6 linked regions of the Callithrix jacchus genome follow. The protein of the gene in region 2 purifies or fractionates together with the protein of the main gene of each other region. This does not show direct contact. Links are inferred from orthologs where the notes say so. Each region holds a gene or a part of one and is shown on either strand. Other genes may lie near its edges. The genes, in order: CD46, CD81, PTGFRN, GNB1, IGSF8 and ITGB1.

Region 1 (4,228 bases), on a different chromosome or scaffold from region 2:
TTGCTCCAAAAATTGAATGTTTATTTTAGTTCATGTATTCTCCCTGCGTGGCATCATGAGTTCTCATTTTTACTTTCTCTAGGTTTCATACTTGTTGTTGATTTAACCTTATCAACCTCAAACTTAACTAAGAATGAAGAGAAGGAAAAACAAGGTTATCTTCCATGTTGCACCCTATTTTATTTTTCTGTGTTCCTCTATTTCAAATCACTTTCATTATCTTCTTCAACTTCCTATTTGTGTGTGTGTGTTTTCCTTTTCGTTTTTTTCTGGAAACAGGGTCTCACTCTGTCACCCAGGCTAGAGTGCAGTGGTACAATCAGGGCTTACTGCAGCCTTGACCTGCAGCCTTGACCGTGGGGGCTCCAGTGATTCTCACTCAGCCTCTCAAGTAGCTGGGACTACAGGCATGCAACAAACTCCACACCTGGCTAATTTTTTTTTTTTTTTTCATTTTTTGTAAAGGTGGGATCTCCTTATGTTGCCCAGCCTGAACTTCTAGTACTAAGTCTATTCTAAACATTAATCTTAAAAGAAAATAAAAGGCCTTTCGTTTTCTTCTTATCACCACTGCTCCCTCCTCCCATCACCCTCCTTCAAAATGAACGTTTTAATAATCACTGAAATGCCAGACTTAAGTACTGGAAACCCTACAGTCAACATGAACAGGGGAGGAAGATCCTTTCGGGCCCTCAGCTGCCCCTGCCCTGGCTTTTTAGGTACCACAGAAAAACCACCCTGAGCATAGCTCTTTAAACAACCTTCTTCCTGGAGGCAGGAGGAACTTTTTCCTAGGCTCTAAGCCCCAGCCAAATAGTATATTTAATTTTCTGGTATTTAACAGATGTCTATATGGATACTGAGTCAGTATTGATATGGAGGCAAACAAATTGGGCTTTTGGAACCACAAATGTGACAAGACAGATAAGATCCCTGCATTCTGATGGGGAGAGACAAAGAATAGAAAAGGTCATTTTTAAAGCGTGATTACAAGTGAAGAGGGACTTGAACTGGGTTGTATGTCTCCAACCTGAAACGGGGGGCGGTCAGAGAAGGTCTCTGAGGGGATAACATACCAGCCGAGTTTGCAGAAGAAAAGAGCCCGTTTATGCAGCAGTTCAGGAGAATGTTCCAGGGCTGAGAACAGCAAGCACAGATGCCCCAAAGAGGCAGAGTTTTGTCTCTTTGATGAGCAGAAAAGCCTTCCCTGCCTCCAGTCCATTTGTTAAATGCTGTCAGAAAATTATACTCCTTTTCTCCAGAGCACTTCCCTTGGTTCATAATATATTTGTTACTATTACGTTTAGTTAATGTCTGCCACTCCCAATACATTTTAGCGAATAGTTATTGTTTACTGTGTTCCCAGCACTGAGCTTGCAGCAGTGCACAAAACAAAGCCCCTGCTTATCTTCCTGCATGTACATGTGTGTAAACAAATGGCGAAAAAAAGGATCAAGAAAATAGGAACGTTTGGGATTGCCTACCAGTGTAATAGCACCACACATTCTAGGCCGACATTCGTTGAATGAATGTTCCTAAGGAAAGAAACGTAACGTACAACCTGTACACGTAATAGGATCCTAAATATAAGTTTGGACATAGATACACCTGAAGCGCATATAAAGTCAGATGGAAATAGTCCAAAATATTAAAAATAGTTGTCCTGTGATTCTGTTCGTTTTGTTTAATAAGCATGTATTTCTTAGCTTTTTTTTTTTTTTTCTAGATAGGGTCTCACTCTGTCACCCAGGCTGGAGCACAGTGGCATGATCACAGCTCACTGCAGTCTTCACTTCCCAAGCACAAGCGATCCTCTCACCTCAGCCTCCAGAGTAGCTGGGACCACAGGCATACACCACCATGCCCATCTAATTTTTGTATTTTTTGTAGATATGGGGTTTGCATGGGGTTTTGCTTGCCCAACTCCTGGGCTCAAGCAATCACCCCACTTGGGCCTCCCAAAGTGCTGGGATCACAGGCATGAGCCACTGCACCTGGCCTAGTATGCATTTTTAATAGTATTATTCCATTCAATGAAATACAAAACAAATTTAGTGGGATGGGCTTCAGCTTTAGTTTATGAGTTGCAGGGAAAACAGATTAACATAATTTCCTTTCCTTTGTTAGGATACTAATTTCTCAATAGGTTTGGTTACCAGTGTTTTTTAGGTTTCTTCACATCTCTCAAATATGACTCAAACAATGAAAAGAAGGAAAATTATGTCAAAAAGCCATTAGGTAATGGAATCAGAGAGTGTCTACATTGGTTGGGAACAGGAAGATGACTCCATGACCCACCCAAGTCCCAAAAAACCAGCTAGTTAAAAATCAAGACCAATAGGATCTCAGGCAACACGGAGACTGTTCACAGAAGGCACAAAACGCGTGGCGTGCCCTTACCAGCATCTCTAACCCCAGGCACTGAGAACCTGTTCTCACCCAACATAACCCCCCTAGCCCCAGAGTCCACGCTCACACCATTCAAAGCAAACAGTGAGCTGTCTTGTCCACCGTGAACTCTGAAGGGCAGGCCACTTGCACACAACACAGCACGCTCCCAACAACACCAGGCCAGGCCCCTGATCGCCCAGCACAGCCCATGCCAGCCCAGCCCATGGGGCACAGCGGACGGACGCGCCGCAGCACTTTTCGCAGATACTGCCGAAGTGCTAAGGAACACCCGGCTCACCAAGGCACCAACCGCCCCGCCCAGGGAACACATGTTAAACTCTCACCGGCGGCACAGCACGGGCCCTAGCAACACTCCCACGCACCCGTGCACTCCAAAGCAAGCCCTTACCAGGGGCACCCAGTGCGCGCTCCACTTGCCGACTGGACTCAATCCCGAAAACAAGGTGCAGGCTTTTGTTGGGGGCGCAGCCAGACCCTACGTAAATTCGGGCCGCGCACATCACTCCAGCAAACAAGCTTCACCTCGGGCTCTAAGTGGTCCCCGCATCCTCCGCCACACACCCCAGGGATCTGCGCACTGCGCTCCTCGGAGAACCCTGGCCTCGCCCTCTACCCCAAGCCGGCAGGACAAACGGTCAGTCCCGCCCCGCGCCTCCTGCCCAGCTGATCCAGCAGAGTTCTAGCTTCACCGCTGACGCGCGAACCCGCCCCGGGATCCTACCAGAGCAGGAGGACCGCAGCAACACCAGGGCCGCCAGAAGCAACCCAGGAAAACGCCAGGAAGGAGAGGGACACTCGCGGCGGCTGGGAGGCGCCATGCGCGTCGCGGAAGAAGCCGTCATTTATCCGGAGGTAAGCAGAGAAACCGGGAGCCAGCTGAGCAGGGAAGTCCCTTGTGAGTCCGCTTACGGGACGCAACAATCCCCAAACTCACAAAGTGCCCACAGCCTCACAGCGGGTGGGCGTGGCCTGAGCCGCGCCCGAGGCGGAAGTGAGTAGAGGCCCCGGGGCGGTGGGGCCAATCGGCGGACCGCTGGGCGGGGCCTTGGCGCTCAGGGACAGCCCGTTGGCCTCCTGGAGATAGGGCGTGGCCTTGGCAGGGCCTAACCCTGCAGGCTCCCCGGGCCTCGCCTCTTTTCTTGCTAAACCGTAGGGCCACAGTTCTGGAAACCTGAGGCGGCCTGCGAGAAAGGGCTGGGTCACCGCCAAGTTTGTGACCCTGGAAGGGTAGAAAGAAAACTAAGCTGCCGTAGGACTGTCTCCGGGAACTCGGGATTCAAGAATAAAGCCCTTCGACCTAAAAATAGAGATCCAGAGGCCAGGACGGGCGTCACTCTGGGCCATCAGCCCTCAGGGTTAGTTTTATCCTGGGGCACTGCAGGCTGTCCGGACTGCCTGGGCCCTTACACGGTATTTGCCATTAGACATTATTAGGAGCAGTATTTGAGTTTTTCTTGCTTGGATGCCTGCTGCTGAATCGTCTCTGGCCTTCTTGTTTTCAGTCTCAAAGGTTTGGCTCCTGCACTCCCAGCCCGTAAGGTAATTTGCTCTTTGCTCTCCTCCCTGGAGAGTAGCCCCGCTGGAATCTAAATTATTAAGCGACATCAGGCCCTTAGCATATTGGGACTCTGGGGCCCTTGCCCTTGAGCGACTAAATGTTTTTTGAAGATGAAATATACATGCATGAACAATGTAAGGACAAGGGTGTCCTAAGTGCCAAATTCTTGGAAGCAATAAATGCAGGAGGATTGGGATGGGCAGAAATTGTTAGGTTAAGTGGATAAGAGGGAGAACTTTCTTTTTTTGTGAAACAGTC
Region 2 (2,188 bases):
CTTCTCAGACTCCACGCCAAGTCCCAGCGGCATTAGGAGCAGGTTTAGGCAGTGGGTGCAGGCAGTGGGTGGCAGGTGGGGGACTGTGGGTGGTGGGTTTGGTGCTTGGAGGGCCGTGGGTGGTGGTGGGGGACTGTGGCTGGCAGGTGTGGCGGGTGGCGGGTTGTGGGTGGTGGGTGGGGGACTGTGGCGGGTGGCAGGCCATGGGCCACACCGCAGGCCTTGTCCCTGCAAAGCACCCATCTCCAGCACTCAGAGCACTCACGAGGCACACAGTCCCCACCTGGTGGTCTCAGTCTCCCTTCTGCATCATGGGAGAGGAAACTGAGGCACAGAGAGTTTGCAGGGCCGAGCTGGGATGCGGGCCCTCGCTGCTCATCCCTGGCATCGGGTCTTCCCAGCTGGGCAGCCCGTGGTGGGGTCGGCACCCGGGACCCTCCGGGGTCTCGGGCTGTGACGAGTGTGCAGGCGCCCACCCAGTGTCGCTCTCCCCAAGGCATCTACATCCTCATTGCTGTGGGCGCCGTGATGATGTTCGTTGGCTTCCTGGGCTGCTATGGGGCCATCCAGGAGTCCCAGTGCCTGTTGGGGACGGTAAGGCAGGGAGGTGGGCCTGCACCTGGGATGGGCCCAGCCCGGGGAGGGGCTGGGGGCTGTGTCCGGCCCTGGTGCTCAGGGCGGATTGCACTTCTGGGGTAGGCAGCGGTGGCGGCAGCTCCCGTGCCCCGGATTTCCCATTTGATTTTTAAATTAAATCCCACTGTGCTTGATCTCCTCATGGTCAGTTCCTAAGTGACCTGAGGCCGGCCTTGGGCATCCCTGGGCACAGCGCCCCCAATGGGAAGCCCAGTGGGGGAAACTGAGGCACATCCCATGGCCCCCTTCCCATGGGGAGCAGGAGCAAGGGGGTGGGGAAGACCAGGTCTGAGTCAGGGGTCAGGCTGCTGCACATGCCTCCCGGGGCTGCAGACATCTTGGACTCACCAGCTGTGACCCCAAACCTCAGGCCCCGCCCCATCCACCTCAGGGTGCTGGTGCTGGCGGGGAAGCCGTGGGCTTTGACGTCTGCTTCCTGGGGCTTAGTGTCAGGCTCTGTGCTCTAGGGCTCATACATGGCACTCATTCCTGGTCAGGTGGTCTGGTCCCTCACACACAGCCTGCTGGGCACCTGGGTGTCTGCCCTGGGGCCCTGCCCACAGCCTGCTGGGCACCTGGGTGTCTGCCCTGGGGCCCCGCCCACAGCCTGCTGGGCACCTGGGTGTCTGCCCTGGGGCCCCGCCCACAGCCTGCTGGGCACCTGGGTGTCTGTGCTGAGGCCCCGCCCACAGCCTGCTGGGCACCTGGGTGTCTGTGCTGAGGCCCCGCCCACAGCCTGCTGGGCCCCTGGGTGTCTGCCCTGGGGCCCCGCCCACAGCCTGCCCTCTTTCCTCCCTCTGGCCACTGCATGGCTCCAGTTCTTCACCTGTCTGGTCATCCTGTTTGCCTGTGAGGTGGCCGCTGGCATCTGGGGCTTTGTCAACAAAGACCAGGTGAGCCTGGGTGCGCGGGGGCAGGGTGGGGTGGATGGGAGGGGCACCCTCCTCTGCTGTTGCGGGTGGGGGGTACTCTCTGGGCTCCTCCTGGGACCCACTTGGTAGGAGAGTCTCTGGGGGCTGCATGGAGGCGGCAGCACTGGGGCTGAGCACAAGGCCAGCCTCCCTTGTGCGTCCCGGCGCCCCCGGGGCAGCTGGGAGTGTAGACGTCTGGCCTGGAAGCCACCCTGCCCTGGGAGAGCTTGGGAAAGGTGCGTGGGGCTGGGGCAAGGTTGGGGAGGTCCCAACTGTGCGAGTGACCGCAGCCCTCCCCCAGATCGCCAAGGATGTGAAGCAGTTTTACGACCAGGCCCTGCAACAGGCCGTGGTGGACGATGACGCCAACAACGCCAAGGCCGTGGTGAAGACCTTCCACGAGACGGTGCGGCCCGGGGCGAGGCGGGGCGGGGCAGAAACCAGTGCGGGGCGGGGCAGAAACCCGGGCGGGCTCTGTCTCATCCTGGACCACCCCTACTGCGGGACGGGACGGGGCGGGGCAGGGCGGGGCAGAAACCCGGGCGGGCTCTGTCTCATCCTGGACCACCCCTACTGCGTCCACCCAGACCTCAGGAGCAGGAGGTGCCCTGGGGACCTCTAGGACCCTTGGGCTCAGCTGG
Region 3 (3,964 bases), on a different chromosome or scaffold from region 2:
TCAAAAAGAGCAGCGATACCAAGATTATACCCAGGTCACATCCCGGGAGGAAAGATGATCTTGCTGATCAACATATTACATTTCAGGGATCAGTACAGTGCTAGAGTAGTGTAACACAGGGAGACCTTCCCAGAGGTCAGGCTGAAGCTACACCGAGCAAGATTCTGTGGCAGCAGGTATCAGGAGAGTCATCAATGGGTCACAGGACTGTCAGGTGAAAAGGCACTGGCTGGTGACACCACAGAAACTCCCTGCGGAGTTCATAGGAGGCCTCCAGCCAGGACAGGATATGTTGGGGTACAATCAAGATTTCCCCAAGTTGTGCTTTCCCCACTTGTCTTTTTTTTTTTTTGTCAGTCTCTTTGCCCCCTCCCTCTTCCGCCCTTATTATGATTACTCAAGGGCATTGTTTTCAAAGTTCTACCTCATCCCACCCTCATAACTGGTACCCAGGTTTCAGAGAACTGCACAGCTCTATGGGGAGTCATTCACATGGGCTATAAAGTGAACAGCAGCTCCTGAAGCTGTACAGTGCACCATCCGTGCAAACCCAGGCCACGGCCCTGCGTGATCCAGACATAGTCAATGTGTGTGGACCATCACAGCAGCGTGCCGCAAACATAGGGTCCCAGAGTGAAAAGTAAAGACTAAAAGCATTACCACCGGGTGTGGTGCAGCGTGCCGAGAATCCCAGCACTTCGGGAGGCTGAGGTGGGAGCATCACTTGAGCCCAGGAGTTTGAGGGTTCAGTGAGCTGTGCAGTGCCACTGCACTCCAGACTGGGTGGCAAAGTGAGACCTTGTTTCAAAGATAAAATCACACCTGTGATCCCAGCACTTTGGGAGGCCGAGGCGGGTGGATCACGAGGTTAAGAGATCGAGACCATCCTGGTCAACATGGTGAAACCCCATCTCTACTAAAAATACAAAAAATTAGCTGGGCACGGTGGCACGTGCCTGTAATCCCAGCTACTCAGGAGGCTGAGGCAGGAGAATGGCCTGAACCCAGGAGGCGGAGGTTGCGGTGAGCCGAGATCGCGCCATTGCACTCCAGCCTGGGTAACAAGAGCGAAACTCCGTCTCCAAAAAAAAAGCAAAGCACCAGAATCAGGAACGATAGAAGAGATGCCATAAAACTAACTGGAAGATAGGGAAGCTCTCTGCACACTGCCTGAAGCTGAAAGCAACGTGGCTGGACGAGCTCTCTTAGGGAGAGTTCAGAAAATCCCTTCAAGGTGAAGGAAGAAAACATAGTAGCTAGCAAGGCTGGTTCACCAGCAGCAGGAGTGAAGGGGGTTAGAGTAGTGTGGGCCCCTGGTGTTCCCAGCAGGGGAGTGGCTGTAGAAGGCCTCCCCTGGGACCCTCTGGCCATAAGTGCAGAGTAGTCATTTGCCCTGTGTGCAGCTGGGACCTGGATGGGATGGACACGGCACAGCACGCGCTCTGTAAAAGGCTCAAATCTGCCTTCTCCAGGGGCTTGGAAGAGAACCCCAGGCCAGGTCACAGGAATCATCTCGTCCTGGCTGACACTGACCACAAGGATCCAAGAGTATCAAAGCGTTTAAGGGTCAGCCCTGGGGTACCACGGTGGGCACTTAATAAACATATTTCCGTGGCTGGCTAGGATCACCATGTGGATCTACGTGAAGATGGTGCCTGTGTGTGGAGTGAATGGAAAATGGAGAGGGGGAAAAAACCCACAAAAGATTCCTTGGGTGGGGGGAGGGCACTGGGCCAAAACCTCACAGGGCACCGAGGGTTTCCGGAGGGTGGAAGACCAGGGGACGGTAAGGGAGGAAAAGTAACAGGTAGAAAAAGTTGGAGAAGCCAGGCTCTTCGGTCTTTGTGTATCAGTATGCAGCCAGGCAGCTTCAAGAAAAGCTAAAAGAAACGACTGAGGCAGAAGACCCAGCCAGCACGAAAATGACGGCAGGGCTCGCACGCCGATTTCCATCGTAACGCTCAGGGCCACGCTGTGACCTTCGTGGAAGGAAGTTGGAGGATTCTGTCGCTTCCCTGGAAAGGCAACTCCGCGCGGGCTCGGGGAAGAGCGACGCGGCCGGCGGCGGCTATGGCGGGGCATCTCCCAGGCTCACATTTCCGCTCCCGAGCCGGGGACGCGGGCCGGGACCGCAGCACCTTCCGGGCCGGGAGTTCAAGGTGAGCCGGGTTCCCGGCGGCCAACAGGTAGCGAGGGCCGGGGAAAGCCGGCCCCGGGCCACTCCCCCCGGCACATGTCGGGGGCGAGGCTCGGCCTGGCGGAGCGGCCACTTGCACCCCTCGCGCGGGGCCCGGGCGGATTCGCGCCAGGCTCCGGGCGGCCCCACGGCCGCTCCCCTCCGGGCCGAGCCGCCCGCGCTCCCCGGCCGGGTTTCCCGGGAGCGGCCCGGGCACCCTCCGCACCCCAGGCCGCGCGCCGCAGCCGCGCCCCGCCGAGCCCCGCGCACACTCACCCAGCCACAGGAGCGCCAGCAGCAGCGGCCTCGGCGCCAGGCGCCCCATGCTGGCGCGGCGGGAGCGACTCTCCCCTCCTCCTCCTCCTTCCCCGCCGCCTCTCCTCCTCCTCCTCCTCCAGCTCCGGCTGCTCCAGAGTCCGCGCTCCTCCGCCCGGGCCGCGCGCCTGCTCCGCTCTCCCCGCGAGCCGATAAATCCCAGCGCTGGGGCGGACGTGCGCCCCTGGCTCCGCTCGCTCCCTCCCGCCTCCTCCCCTCCCTCCTCCGGCCGGCCGGGCCCTGCAGCCGGCCCCGCCGCTCCGAGTGTGCAGCCCCGACCGCTTCCCGAAAGCACAAGGGAAGAACCGCAGCGCCCTCCCGCCCGCCCGCGCCTCCCATCCGGCGCTTTGCCAGCAACAAACACAAACTTTCCCAAGCCCCTCCCCGCTCCAGGTAACGGAGAACGCGCCGGGGCCACCCGCTTAAAGGCGAGGAGGCGTCGGAGCCCACCCTGCCCTCCCCTCCGGGCCCCCGCCCACGAGAAACTTTCCTCCGACCTTTAAAAGTTGGCCTGGGAAAGACTCGTCTGGAAATCCCATCGCTTTGGCCCTATCCCGGGACACCCTGCGTTCCATCACTCTGCAGTCACCCACGCGTGTCCAGTCTGTCCTCAGCCAACTCCCCGCTGGTTCAGCCTCTGGTCCTGAGCTAAGCACCCCACCAACCAGCCACTCGGCCTATGCCAAAAATTATCCAGATAGGAGTGAAGGAGCTGAAAGGACTTTCAAAGGCCACGGATTCCAACCTCTGTCATACAGAGGCCTTACGTGTTTCGGTGAGGTGCAGGAAGGGGCGAGATCCGAACCCTGCTCTCTTGACTCTGCCCACACCCCGGTGGGTGGGCTTGCCTCCTCCTTGCCCAGCTCCCTCCCTCTCCTTGGCGCCTGTGGCCCTGATTGGAACAACTCCCCACAAAGACACCCATTTAAAAAAACGAACACACCAACAATACCCAAGTGCATTAATAGCTGTAGTACTTCACATAGAATGTGCTCTTAAGATTTCATATCTATTGCTCTAACTGGACACAACTGGTTGCCAGTAAATATTCTTCCCCCCTCACAATATTTTGTGCTTTTGATTTGATTACAAAAGGCCCCACGGTATTGGGAGGTATGGAGCACTTCTTGTTAAAACTTAGCAAACATGATTCAAACAGTCAAGGAGCAGCACTGGTGCCCCCTGCCCTCACCAGGCTTTCATTCACACCTGCAAATGCTCCTGTGGAACTGCCACGCTGGGGAAGAGCACTGCTGTTACTCTTACGCGTTGCTCTTTCAACCAACAAGTGTTTCTTATTTCCACTATCAAATGGGTGATTAGTCAGGTATGAACCCTTGGGAAAGAGGCTTAGAAATTCACTCCTGGTGGTGCAACGTTATTGTACTTAATGCCACTGAATGGTACACTTAGAAATGTTTAAAATAGCCAGGCATGGTAACTGGTATCTGTAATGTCAGCTACTCAGAAGGC
Region 4 (3,980 bases), on a different chromosome or scaffold from region 2:
CTATGTCAAATGACCCAGCAAAACATATACTTTAGGCTTCATCCTAAATTAAAGCCTGGGCCCTGCTCAGCGTGGAGCCGACTGTCATGGACCAGGCATCCAGTACAGCTGCCTCTCACACGAATGGACCCTGGATCCCTTGCATTGGTGGCACGCCACTCCAGAACACACCTACACCTGCGTATCCTGTGGAGCTTTCTTACTCCATCAGCTACTCTGTGTATTTTAAGGCACACCATGTTTTAATCAGCATCTCTTTGAGAGCCTGTTTCCTCAATAATAACGAAAAGGAACATGCAAGATCCTTTAAGGGTCTTTTGGCTGAAAAATCTAAGAAAGAAAAAAACCCCTTTTAGAATCATCTACAATTTCTTGTTTGATTCACCAAGCTCTGCATTCTTTAACAAGTGTGTATTCCTTGGGCAATCAGGAAAAAATGTTCTACATTTTAAAAATAAACCTTCCTTTCCCATTTGGTGTAAAAGGACTTAAACAGCTTTTGCTGTCCCTGTCTCGTGCAGAGGAGCTAACACGACACAGTCCCTGTGACTTTGGAGATAGAGCAGCTGGGCGCCTCACCTAGTGAACATCCCACTACGGGACCACAAGCTGCAAGTGGCTGCTGCGCACAGGAAAGGGAGCCAGGAGACTTGGGACAAAAACAGTGTCAAGTATCTCAATTAAAATGTATTAATTACTGCCTACAGTCACCATGTTTTGTGGTAAAGTAAAAAATAAATAAATAAAATGTATTAATTACATATTGAATAATAATATTTTAGCTATATTGCCTTAGATAAAATTTGTTGGGCCAGGTGTGGTGGTTCACACCTATAAACCCAGCACTTTGGGAGGCTGAGGCAGGAAGATCACTTGAGCCCAGGAGTTTACGACCAGCCTGGGCAACATGCTGAACTGTGTCTCTACAAAACTGAAAAAAAATCAGCAGGTACGGCAATGCGTTCCTCTAGGCCTAGCTGTGATCGTACCACTGCTCTCCAGCTTGGGCAACTGAGCGAGACCTTGTCTCAAAACACGCAAACTAAAACTGAAAAAACCTTACTAGGATTAATTTTACCTGTTTCGTTCTTTTCATTCTTTTTAAAGAGAGGGGGTCTTCCTTCATTACACAGGCTGGTATCAAACTTTTGGGTTCAAGCAATTCTCCCATCTTGGTCTCCCCAAGTGCTGAAATTACAGGCAGGAGCCATGGTACCCCGCCCTATCTCTTTTTACAATTTTTATGTGGCAACAAGTGTATGTTCGGGAGTGTCATGTGCTATTCGTACCAGTCCAAAAGGGAGTCCCCTGTGCAAGAAGGCGCTGGGAAATTCACAACATGGCAGGGCTCAAACCTCCAGAGGAGGTGCAACAGCTCCTTTGGGCCTTAATTTTTTTAATTTGCGTGTCTTTTACCTTCTTGTACAAGCTCTTTTCATCTGCTATGAATAGATCCAGGTCCACTATTTGTGAGAAACGTATCTCACCAACAGAGAAACAAAACGTCTTAAATAGGCCAAATCACACTACTGTCTAAGACATTTTCAGGGTAACTTAGTAGAGGATATTTGATTTTCTCTCTGACTGTAAATCTCAGAGAATTCCATCATTTTTCCGCAAGTTCAGGAACAAGCTGCCTAAAATGATGCTGGTGTTTCTTTCTCCAACTCCTGGTGGGCTTTCTAAACACGTAATGGGCCATTTAAAAGGAAATAATTAGGCTTCATCCTTGCACTAAGTCAGAAAAACATACTGTTTTTATTTTATTTTGAGAAGGAGTCTCACTTTGTCACCTAGGCTGCAGTGCAGTGGTTGTGAACACAGCTCACTAAACAGCCTCGATCTCCTGAACTCAAGTGATCCTGCTGAGTAGCTGGGACTACAGGTGCGCACCACCAAGCCCAGCTTATAAACTGTTACTCAGACATGTATTAAATGTTGCCGGCTTCCTGTACAGTGACACACTGAAGGACAGCTAAAGCTTGACAGAGCAAACAAGAGTAAGCTCTTACATCAAATGGACAAAACCTAAAATCATAGTGAAGACTTGTTTTTTCCTGAGAAGTCTGCCTCTTTTTCTCTTCCTCTTCATATCAGCAGTTTCAGAATGGAAACATATACTGGTATTAAGTGTTTCTCTATAAAATATTTACTAGAAGTGCTAGTTCACAAAAGGAGAAGGAGCAGAACAAATTCTGTTTAGACCTACTGCTCCTCCTTTTTCAAAAAGTTTATGGGGATGGGAGCAGTGGCTCACACCTGTAATCTCAGCACTTTGGGAGGCCAAGGCGGGTGGATCACCTGAGGCTGGGAGTTCAAGAACAGCCTGGTCAACATGGTGAAACCCCATCTCTACTAAAAATAGAAAAATCAGCCAGGCATGGTAGCAGGAGCCTATAATCCCAACTACTCGGGAGGCTGGCGCAGGAGAATTGCTTGAACCCTGGAGGCAGAGGTTGCAGTGAGACAAGATCTCACCACTGCACTCAAGCCTAGGAGAGCGAGACTCTCTCTCTCTCAAAACAAAAGAAAACAAAAACAAAAAACAAAAAAGGCCGGGCACAGTGGCTCGTGCCTGTCATCCCAACACTTTGGGAGGCTGAGGCAGGCAATTATGAGGTCAGGAGATCGAGACTGTCCTGGCCATGGTGAAACCCTGTCTCTACTAAAATACAAAAAATTAGCCAGGTGTAGTGGCACGCACCTGAGTCCCAGCTACGCAGGAGGCTGAGGCAGGGAAATTGCTTGAATCTGGGAGACGGAGGTTGCAGTGAGCCAAGATCATGCCACTGCACTATACAGCCTGGTGAAAGAGCAAGACTCCGTATCAAAAAAAAAAGTTTATGAACTGTGCAGTCTAACTTGTGTATCAGACACAGACTGGAATGTTTTAGAATTCTGTGACAGATATTCTTTCTACAATGCAGTTTATTTACACACGATTGTTTTCATTTTTCAGGGTCTCACTCTGACGCCCAGTTGCACAATCTCGACACACTGGAACCTCCACCTCCTGGGTTCAAGTGATCCTCTGACCTCAACCTCCTGAGTAGCTGGGACTACAGGCACACACAACAATATCCAGCTAATTTTTACATTTTTTGTAGAAATGGGGTTTCACTACGTTGGCCTGGCTGGTGTTGAACTCCTGACCTCAAGTAATCTGCCCGTCTTGGCCTCCCAAACTGCTAGGATTCCAGGAGGGAGCCCAGTGCAACTGGCCTCTATCTTGGATTTTGATATATCTGCTCCATCTAGCAGTCTATCAAAAGTTGCAGATTCCAATCATCACCACTAGATCCCCTTTCAAAATTAGGAAAAAATACATCAGGTACACCTGAAATACTTTTTTACTTTTAAGGCGGAGTCCTGCTCTGTTACCAGGCTGGAGTGCAGTGATGTGATCTCGGCTCACTGCAATGTGCGCCTCCCAAGTTGAAGTGATTCTCCTGCCTCAGCCTCCCGAGTAGTTGGGACTACAGGCATGCACCACCATACCCGGCTGATTTTTGTATTTTTAGTAGAGACGGGGTGTCACCATGTTGGCCAGGATGGTCTCGATCTCTTGACCTTGTGATCTACCCGCCTCGGCCTCCCAAAGTGCGGGGATTATAGGTGTGAGCCACCGCACCCAATCCTAAAATACATTTTTTTTTTTTTTTTTTTTTTTGAGACAGAGTTTACATGTTGTTACCCAGGCTGGAGTGCAATGGTGGGATCTCGGCTCACCACAACCTCTGCCTTCTGGGTTCAAGCAATTCTACCTCAGCCACCCGAGTAGCTGGGACTACAGGCGCGCACCACCATGCCCAGCTAATTTTTATATTTTTAGTAGAGTCGGGGTTTCACCTTGTTGACCAGGATGGTCTCCATCTCTTGACCTTGTGATCCACCAGCCTTGGCCTCCCAAAGTGCTGGGATTATAGGCGTGAGCCACCGCGCCCGGCCTGAAATACTTTTTTATTGTTAATACTCTTATT
Region 5 (2,504 bases), on a different chromosome or scaffold from region 2:
TGCCAGGGCAGAGTCTGGATCTTCCTCCAGAAGCCCCAGCTGCCTGGGCAGCCCTGCAGGGTGAGAGAAGCAGTGAGCTCATGGCACAGCTGGAGGGGGGAGGGCATTGTATGGTGAGAACTGACTGGGTCTGTGCCCTTTCCAGCTAGGGCCACTGGCTCCATTGTCTAGCCCAGGTGACAAGCTGAGCCAACTAGCCCTTCTGAGCAAGACTGCCAGCTCCCCTCAAGCAAAGGAGGGAACATGTAGTCTCAGAATCCCCCAGCCAGAAGGCTCCCCTGACCAGGAGGAAGGAATGGTAGACATGGAGGTAGGTGAATGGCAGGGACAGATCAAGGTTCAGTTGGAACCAAGGCCTGGTTAGGTCAGGAATCAGATGTACTCCTTTCTGCCTTCAGGCGCTCTGCTTCTAGTCTGCCAGAAATGGGATGCATCTGGGTGCCAAGGCAATCCTGGGCCCATACCACCTCCTCGAGACCCAAGTGTCTTATATCCCAGCATCTGTTTCCTGTTCTCAGAACAGGGTCCAAGCTGTGGACCAACTTTTCCAGGTCTCCTTTCCTTTTATAGGCAGAAGTCAAGAATGGTGCTTGTGGTGGCAGAGGGCATAGAATGGGGAACCAGGCATCTCCAACTCCTTTTGTCTTTCCCTACAGGAATGGGATGCTGGGCCCGGCAGGTGCTGGTCCCTGAGGGGCCCTTGTACCGTGTGGTTGGAACAGCTGTCTCCATCTCCTGCAATGTGACTGAATATGAGGGCCCTGCCCAGCAGAACTTTGAGTGGTTCCTGTACAGGCCCGAGGCCCCGGATACTGCTCTCAGTATTGTCAGTACCATGGATGACCAGTTCCACTATGCGATCTTCAAGCCCCGAGTGCTGGCGGGTGAGGTGCAGGTGCAGCGCCTACAAGGGGATGCTGCAGTGCTCAAGATTGCGCGCCTGCAGGCCCAGGATGCTGGCATTTATGAGTGCCACACCCCCTCCACTGATACCCGCTACCTAGGCAGCTACAGCGGCAAGGTGGAGCTGAGAGGTACTAGGCCCTGGAACAGGGTGCGGCCACACACCCTCTCAAGGCAGGAGGGACACAAGTGACCTATCTAACTGCCCCTTAGGTTTTGTAGCCAAGGAACTCGACGCCCAAAGAGGTTAAGTGACTTGCACAGTCACCCAATAACTCAGTGGCTGGTGTGGGACTCAAACCCAGATTTCCTCACTCCAGGCCAGTGCTCTTCTGATTATATCAAGCCCCCTTCTGGAAGAAGAGCCATCCAGTCCCCTTTCCATTCCCAAGAATGAGGAAGACTGATGGGTTGAATAGACTCTACTGGACAGTACAGGACCCAGATCTGGGAAAGAGCGTATTTAGGGAAGGAGTCAGGCCATGTGACATTCTCACTCTTTTAAGTTTCTTTGTCTCCTGGAGAAGGAAGACAAAGCCACTTTTCTTGGTATTTCAAACAGGGGTCAGTCTTGAACGTAAGGGTGAGTAGGCGATGGGCTGGTTCTTTGAAATTCAGCAAGTATTTATTGAGTGCCTGTGATACGCCCAGCACTGCGCTTGGCACCACTGAGTTACAGAAGAAATAATACAACATGCGATCTTTGCCCTCTGGGAGCTCACAGTCTATTTAGGGAGATCGGCCCTGAACAGGAAGTAGTAACAAGGGCTGCCAGCCCCCAGCCCTCCCTCACTCCAGCTCTTCTCTCCAGTTCTTCCAGATGTCCTACAGGTGTCTGCTGCTCCTGCAGGACCCCGAGGCCGCCAGGCCCCAACCTCACCCCCACGCCTGATGGTGTATGAGGGGCAGGAGCTGGCACTGGGCTGCCTAGCGAGGACAGGCACACAGAAGCACACACACCTGGCAGTGTCCTTTGGGCGATCTGTGCCCGAGGTGCCAGTTGGGCGAGCAACTCTGCAGGAAGTGGTGGGAATCCGGTCAGACTTGGCTGTGGAGGCCGGAGCTCCCTATGCTGAGCGACTGGCTGCAGGGGAGCTTCGACTGGGTAAGGAAGGGAGTGATCGGTACCACATGGTAGTAGGAGGTGCCCAGGCAGGGGACGCAGGCACCTACCACTGCACTGCCGCTGAGTGGATTCAGGATCCTGATGGCAGCTGGGCCCAGATTGCAGAGAAAAGGACTGTCCTGGCCCACGTGGACGTGCAGACGCTGTGTAAGTGCCACATCCCACTGTGGGAGCTGGGAGGGACAGTATGCTGGTGGGCACTGTGGCCACAGGGGGTACCAGATAGCCGTCATCTGACTCCAAGGAACTTATCTTCTAGAGTGAGCATCCCTGTTAGCATTGCTTCCCGCTCTGCCCTTGATGAGTTTTCTCTGCTCAGTAATTGGTTATAGAGTTAGGAGGGCCATGGGTGAGGGGTGAGATTCAAGCCCCCGAGTAGAAAGATGGTCATACCCCGTGAGAGGCAGACGGGAAGCTTTGAAGCTGCTGCTGTCAAGGAGAAAACACAAAGTTGGGGAATCAGGTGCCTCTTGTC
Region 6 (4,275 bases), on a different chromosome or scaffold from region 2:
CCATTATGCTTTTGTACTATACAGTTTTCTGTGCTGAGACTGGGCCAATTCTGATGAATTCCAAACAATGGTAAAACCGATACCTTTAAAATTCAAGAATGTTGAGTTCTAATGGCAGTTTGATCATTGATATATTATAGGAACATCATTTAGTCTCTTAAGCTTGAACATCCATTAAGTGGGAAAAATAGTGATTATTTTCTAGAGGTCTTCAGAGATTGGCTAACCAATAGATTTTGCTGGTAAGTAATGTGCAAATTTTCTAGAAAGATGTTATTGCTTCATTTTCTCTTATATTTTGGATTGGCAGCAGCCAAATGGGTGTCCCAGCCCCTAATCTCCTACAAGAGAAACACTACTTCTCAGTTTAATAAATCTGATAAATTTTGAGCTCTTTTTCTAACAGGGTGCAGCAGCTTACTAAGTAAAGCCCACAACATTTTCTGCTACCAGGATAGCAGCTTGCCAGCAGCACATACTGAATTACGGGGTTTCAGTATGATGTTGGCTGGTAGGAACTTCAATCATCCAATCGATATGTGCCCAGCCATTCTCATTATGAATGTTTCCTTCTCTTTCAAACGTTGTTTCCAGCCCCCATCTCCAAGTGTTTAAAAAAAAAAAAAGTGAGGAGAAACAGAAACTATACACCTCAGGATGAAACTTTTCTTTCTCATCCCTGTTCCCCAATAAATGGACTTTCAGATAAACCTATCAAAAGCAGCCCACAACTCACCATTTTCTAAAACGTTCCCCATCCCCACCCTTCGTGGCACCCATGGGCTTCCCCAAGTCTTCACCTTTTTCTTAGACACACGCAAGCACATTCTCACCCCAGGAAAGCAGTCCTGGCTTAGCCAGTTCCCTTCCAGAAGGACCACGTTGTTTTTGCCCCCATGGAGCCCTGCAGGGTCCGGGGCTCAGGTGCCGATTTGCCTTGGGACGGAAGGGGGGGCTTCCTGGGTGCAGGATCTCACAGGCTCAAAACGAGACATCAGTGGACAAACGGGAAGGGAGGTCGGACGCGCGGCTCCCAGGAAGCGGAACCAAAAAACACTGGCTCAGGAGGCGACGCCAGGAACGCGCGGGGCTCTAGGGCGCACCCGACCCCTCACGCCCTTCACAGAGGAGGAAACTGAGGCGCGGGACGGCCTCTGCGGCGTCTCTGCCCCGCCCTCCACAGTCTCCCCCAAGGCGCGCTCCCGTGCGGGCCGGTTCCTTTGTCCCGGCAGCGCTTCCTGCCTCCTCCTCGCCCCGGGCCCGGCTGACGCGGCGGGAGAGGAATGCGTTTCCGGAGGGAGCGGGCGGCGGCTGCGGCCTCGGGAGCGGGATCGGACGCGCAGAGAAGGCGGGGCCGCGGCTAGTTTCCTGCCGGGGGGCGGCTCAGGGCCGCCGAGTCCCCTCCTCCCGCCCCTGAGGGGGAGGAGCCGCCGCCGCCCGCCGCGCCCGAGACCTGGGAGGCCCCGCCAGCCCGCGAGAGAGGCCGAGCGGGAGCCGCGGAGCAGCAGGCCCGAACCCACCGCGCCCGGGCTCGGACGCCGCGCGGGGAAGGTAGGGGCCGGGGCCCTCGGGCGTGGGGTCGTGGGCCGCGGCCTCAGGGATCTGGTGCGCCGCCGCATTTTGGGCCGCCTGCTGGGCCGCGCCGGGACCTTTGTGCCGGGCGTGGGGGCGGGGGCGGCCGCCGGCGGGTGGGGGCTGGGGTGGGATTCCAGGCTCGCCGGGGAGGAAGTCCGCGCTCTGCCACCCGCCTGGCTCTTCCACCCGCCTCGAGTCGCGGGCGCTGGTAGTCCCCGGGCGCGGAGCCTACCCGGCCGCGTTCCGAGCGCGGGGGTAGATGGCTTGGGCGCTGTCACGTCGGGGCTGCGGGAGCTGCGGGGCAGTGGGCTCGAGCGGCCCCTGACACCTGCAGTCTCCCACCCGGCTGGGCGAGCGCAGGTGGAGCCAGCGAGGTCTCCTGGGGCTCGGCGTTTGGGACTCGGCGCGTCCCTGGACGGGTCCTGTGCCTTTGTCTCCCGCTCCCTCGCTGGCTGCCGTCCTTGGAGCAGCGTCGAGTCGGTTGTCCGCGCCCGCGGCGGGGACTGGTCTGGTGTCCTCCCGCTGCCGGGAGGCAGCCTTGAGGCCAGCGCCGCGGGCGGGGGAGGTGGGAGCCGGGTCAGAAAGTGGCCTCGCGTAGCCGCTGGGGACCAGAGGCGTGGTGGCGGCAGTGCCGTCCACCTCCCCGTGTTTATAAACGCGAGTGCCCGGCAGTCAGAGACGCCAGCCTCTGCCGGGCACCCCGGGACCAGGACGCAGGACCACGGTCACCCGCGCTCAGACCCCGTCCGCGAGCCTGAAAGCCGGCCTGTGTCTAGTATCATTTTACCTCACGTCATTTCTTAGGCTTCATAAATTGAATTTATGAGACTCCTACTCTAAGCAACTTTTATTTCGTGAAATTCGTTGTTTTGAGTCAAAAACTTTGCACTCATTTGTATGATTAGTAAGTTGCACTCAGCTTCCGTTTCCTTGTCTGTGAAATAGGAACAATAATATCTACACTAAATTATTCATTTTTATAATAATGACAATGAGGGCCAAGTTTAGGTCTAGGAATTTTACATGTATTATTTAATTCTGGAACCACTCTAATGAGGTCGGTACTGTTTTTATTCTCATTTTCTGAGTGAGAAACTGAAGCACAGGGAGCAAAAGTAAGTTGCCTGTGGTCATCAGGAGCTCCTGGAGAAGGCATGGGGTCTAGCTCCAGAGTCCACGTTTAAACCACAAGTAACTTTCCTAACTATAGTCTAGTTGTGAAAATCAAATGCAAAATGCGAGACACTTAGAGTAGATGCTTAATGAATACTGACTCCTTTTCAGCCCTTTCTTTATAATAAAAAGATGTTAAAAAATATCTCAGAAGGTAATTGGTAACATCATTAGTAATTTCTCTGGACCAACATGCCACATGGATAACAGGTGGGGAGAATTACTAGGTTATTTTGTTTTGTTTTGAGACCGGGTCTCTGTCGCCCAGGCTGGAGTGCAGAGGTGCATCACAGCTCACCGCAGCCTCAACCTCCCAGGCTTAAGTTACTCTCCCACCTCAGCCTCCTTAGTAGCTGGGATTACAGGCGCCTGCACCCTTTTAAAATTTTTTGTAGAGACAGGATCTTACTATGCTGCCCAGGCTGGCCCCAAACTCAAGCAGTCCTCTCTCCTTGAGCTCCCAAAGTGCTGGGATTACAGGTGTGAGTTCCTAAGCCTGGCTCTTAGGTTCTTATTTTTTTAATTGTATTTTTGATGGTACAAAAATAACATGCTAGAGGAATTTAGGTTAGACATCTTTCTTAAACCACGTATGCCCTTAAAAATACGCTATGTAATAGACCACTTTCAGAAATGATTAAGAACTTTAGTTGGCAGTTAACTGTTCATTTGTGGACACCAAGGCCCAGAGGGGTCAGGACTTAGAGTCTCACTGTAATTCTTATATTTTTAAATAATGTTGTCTCATTGATTAATATTACACACGTGGTTGAAAATGGTGAAGTGTTAAATAAAAAAGTTTGGTGTTTTCCTACAGGCATTTGGGGAGAAAGCCATTTTACTTATCCAAAGATTGAGTATGAAGGTGGAAGATGTTATTAGAATGCTGGTTAAAAGGACAAAGAATGTGGATAATACTTTAGTTCTGTAAACAGAAAGCAAATAGACTGTTTAATGCGTCTATGTTGACTTCAGACCTAGACCTACAATGATTGTGACTTCTTTTTTAACCATGTGAAGGTCTATATTGAAATTATTTTTTGTTACCCTCACTCAACATTCTCTACATGAAAAGTATGGAATCAACAATTCTGAAAGCCACTAGATTTAGTAATTAGACAGCTTTCTTCTTAGCTTTGGTCAGTATCATTTAAATCAGCCCCAAATTACCATTACAAATGAAAATGTAATTCTACATTGGTGTTCACTTCCTAACTTTGGGAGTGACAGTGGGGACATCTGGTCACATTTTGCAGTCAAACAACATGGTGCCAGTTTTCCTAAGAGTGCTTGCCACTGATTGTAATGTCTTTGTTGTTTGGCTTCTTCCTAAGTAAGTTGTGGCTTATAGCGGAGACTAGTATAATGTTCTATCTGGAAAAAATATTAATATTCTGTAGGTGCTCTGGTTTGCTCTTAACTATATTGCTAGTGTGATAAGCTGAAACGTCTTGTAACTGGTAAAAGTTTCAGAGAACTTTTGAGGTCCAAGGATGTAACTTTCTGAATATGAACAAGCTGCATATA

Evidence for each region.
Region 1: the proteins of CD81 (region 2) and CD46 purify together in Homo sapiens (co-immunoprecipitation; 3 studies listed by BioGRID and IntAct, with this or other methods). This does not show direct contact. The link is inferred for Callithrix jacchus from reciprocal best matches to the Homo sapiens genes CD81 and CD46.
Region 3: the proteins of CD81 (region 2) and PTGFRN purify together in Homo sapiens (co-immunoprecipitation; 7 studies listed by BioGRID and IntAct, with this or other methods). This does not show direct contact. The link is inferred for Callithrix jacchus from reciprocal best matches to the Homo sapiens genes CD81 and PTGFRN.
Region 4: the proteins of CD81 (region 2) and GNB1 purify together in Homo sapiens (co-immunoprecipitation; 4 studies listed by BioGRID and IntAct, with this or other methods). This does not show direct contact. The link is inferred for Callithrix jacchus from reciprocal best matches to the Homo sapiens genes CD81 and GNB1.
Region 5: the proteins of CD81 (region 2) and IGSF8 purify together in Homo sapiens (co-immunoprecipitation; 3 studies listed by BioGRID and IntAct, with this or other methods). This does not show direct contact. The link is inferred for Callithrix jacchus from reciprocal best matches to the Homo sapiens genes CD81 and IGSF8.
Region 6: the proteins of CD81 (region 2) and ITGB1 purify together in Homo sapiens (affinity purification with western blotting; 4 studies listed by BioGRID and IntAct, with this or other methods). This does not show direct contact. The link is inferred for Callithrix jacchus from reciprocal best matches to the Homo sapiens genes CD81 and ITGB1.

Annotation. Positions count from the first base shown.
Region 1 is NC_133520.1:35,123,986-35,128,213, reverse strand, and holds the start of CD46 (membrane cofactor protein), read right to left. Parts: upstream 2,801-4,228; 5' UTR 2,723-2,800; coding exon 2,479-2,722; intron 1-2,478. UniProt on the Homo sapiens protein: Acts as a cofactor for complement factor I, a serine protease which protects autologous cells against complement-mediated injury by cleaving C3b and C4b deposited on host tissue.
Region 2 is NC_133511.1:129,475,683-129,477,870, reverse strand, and holds part of CD81 (CD81 antigen), read left to right. Parts: intron 1-496; coding exon 497-594; intron 595-1,454; coding exon 1,455-1,529; intron 1,530-1,848; coding exon 1,849-1,953; intron 1,954-2,188. UniProt on the Homo sapiens protein: Structural component of specialized membrane microdomains known as tetraspanin-enriched microdomains (TERMs), which act as platforms for receptor clustering and signaling.
Region 3 is NC_133508.1:154,913,973-154,917,936, reverse strand, and holds the start of PTGFRN (prostaglandin F2 receptor negative regulator), read right to left. Parts: upstream 2,801-3,964; 5' UTR 2,502-2,800; coding exon 2,453-2,501; intron 2,160-2,452; exon of another isoform or gene 1,975-2,159; intron 1-1,974. UniProt on the Homo sapiens protein: Inhibits the binding of prostaglandin F2-alpha (PGF2-alpha) to its specific FP receptor, by decreasing the receptor number rather than the affinity constant. Functional coupling with the prostaglandin F2-alpha receptor seems to occur.
Region 4 is NC_133508.1:39,890,269-39,894,248, forward strand, and holds the start of GNB1 (guanine nucleotide-binding protein G(I)/G(S)/G(T) subunit beta-1), read right to left. Parts: upstream 2,801-3,980; 5' UTR 2,786-2,800; coding exon 2,705-2,785; intron 1-2,704. UniProt on the Homo sapiens protein: Guanine nucleotide-binding proteins (G proteins) are involved as a modulator or transducer in various transmembrane signaling systems.
Region 5 is NC_133519.1:20,039,987-20,042,490, reverse strand, and holds part of IGSF8 (immunoglobulin superfamily member 8), read left to right. Parts: exon of another isoform or gene 1-310; intron 311-656; coding exon 657-1,034; intron 1,035-1,714; coding exon 1,715-2,176; intron 2,177-2,504. UniProt on the Homo sapiens protein: Member of the immunoglobulin superfamily (IgSF) that links tetraspanin-enriched microdomains to the actin cytoskeleton and plays several important roles in innate and adaptive immunity.
Region 6 is NC_133508.1:32,641,337-32,645,611, reverse strand, and holds the start of ITGB1 (integrin beta-1), read left to right. Parts: upstream 1-1,475; 5' UTR 1,476-1,551; intron 1,552-4,275.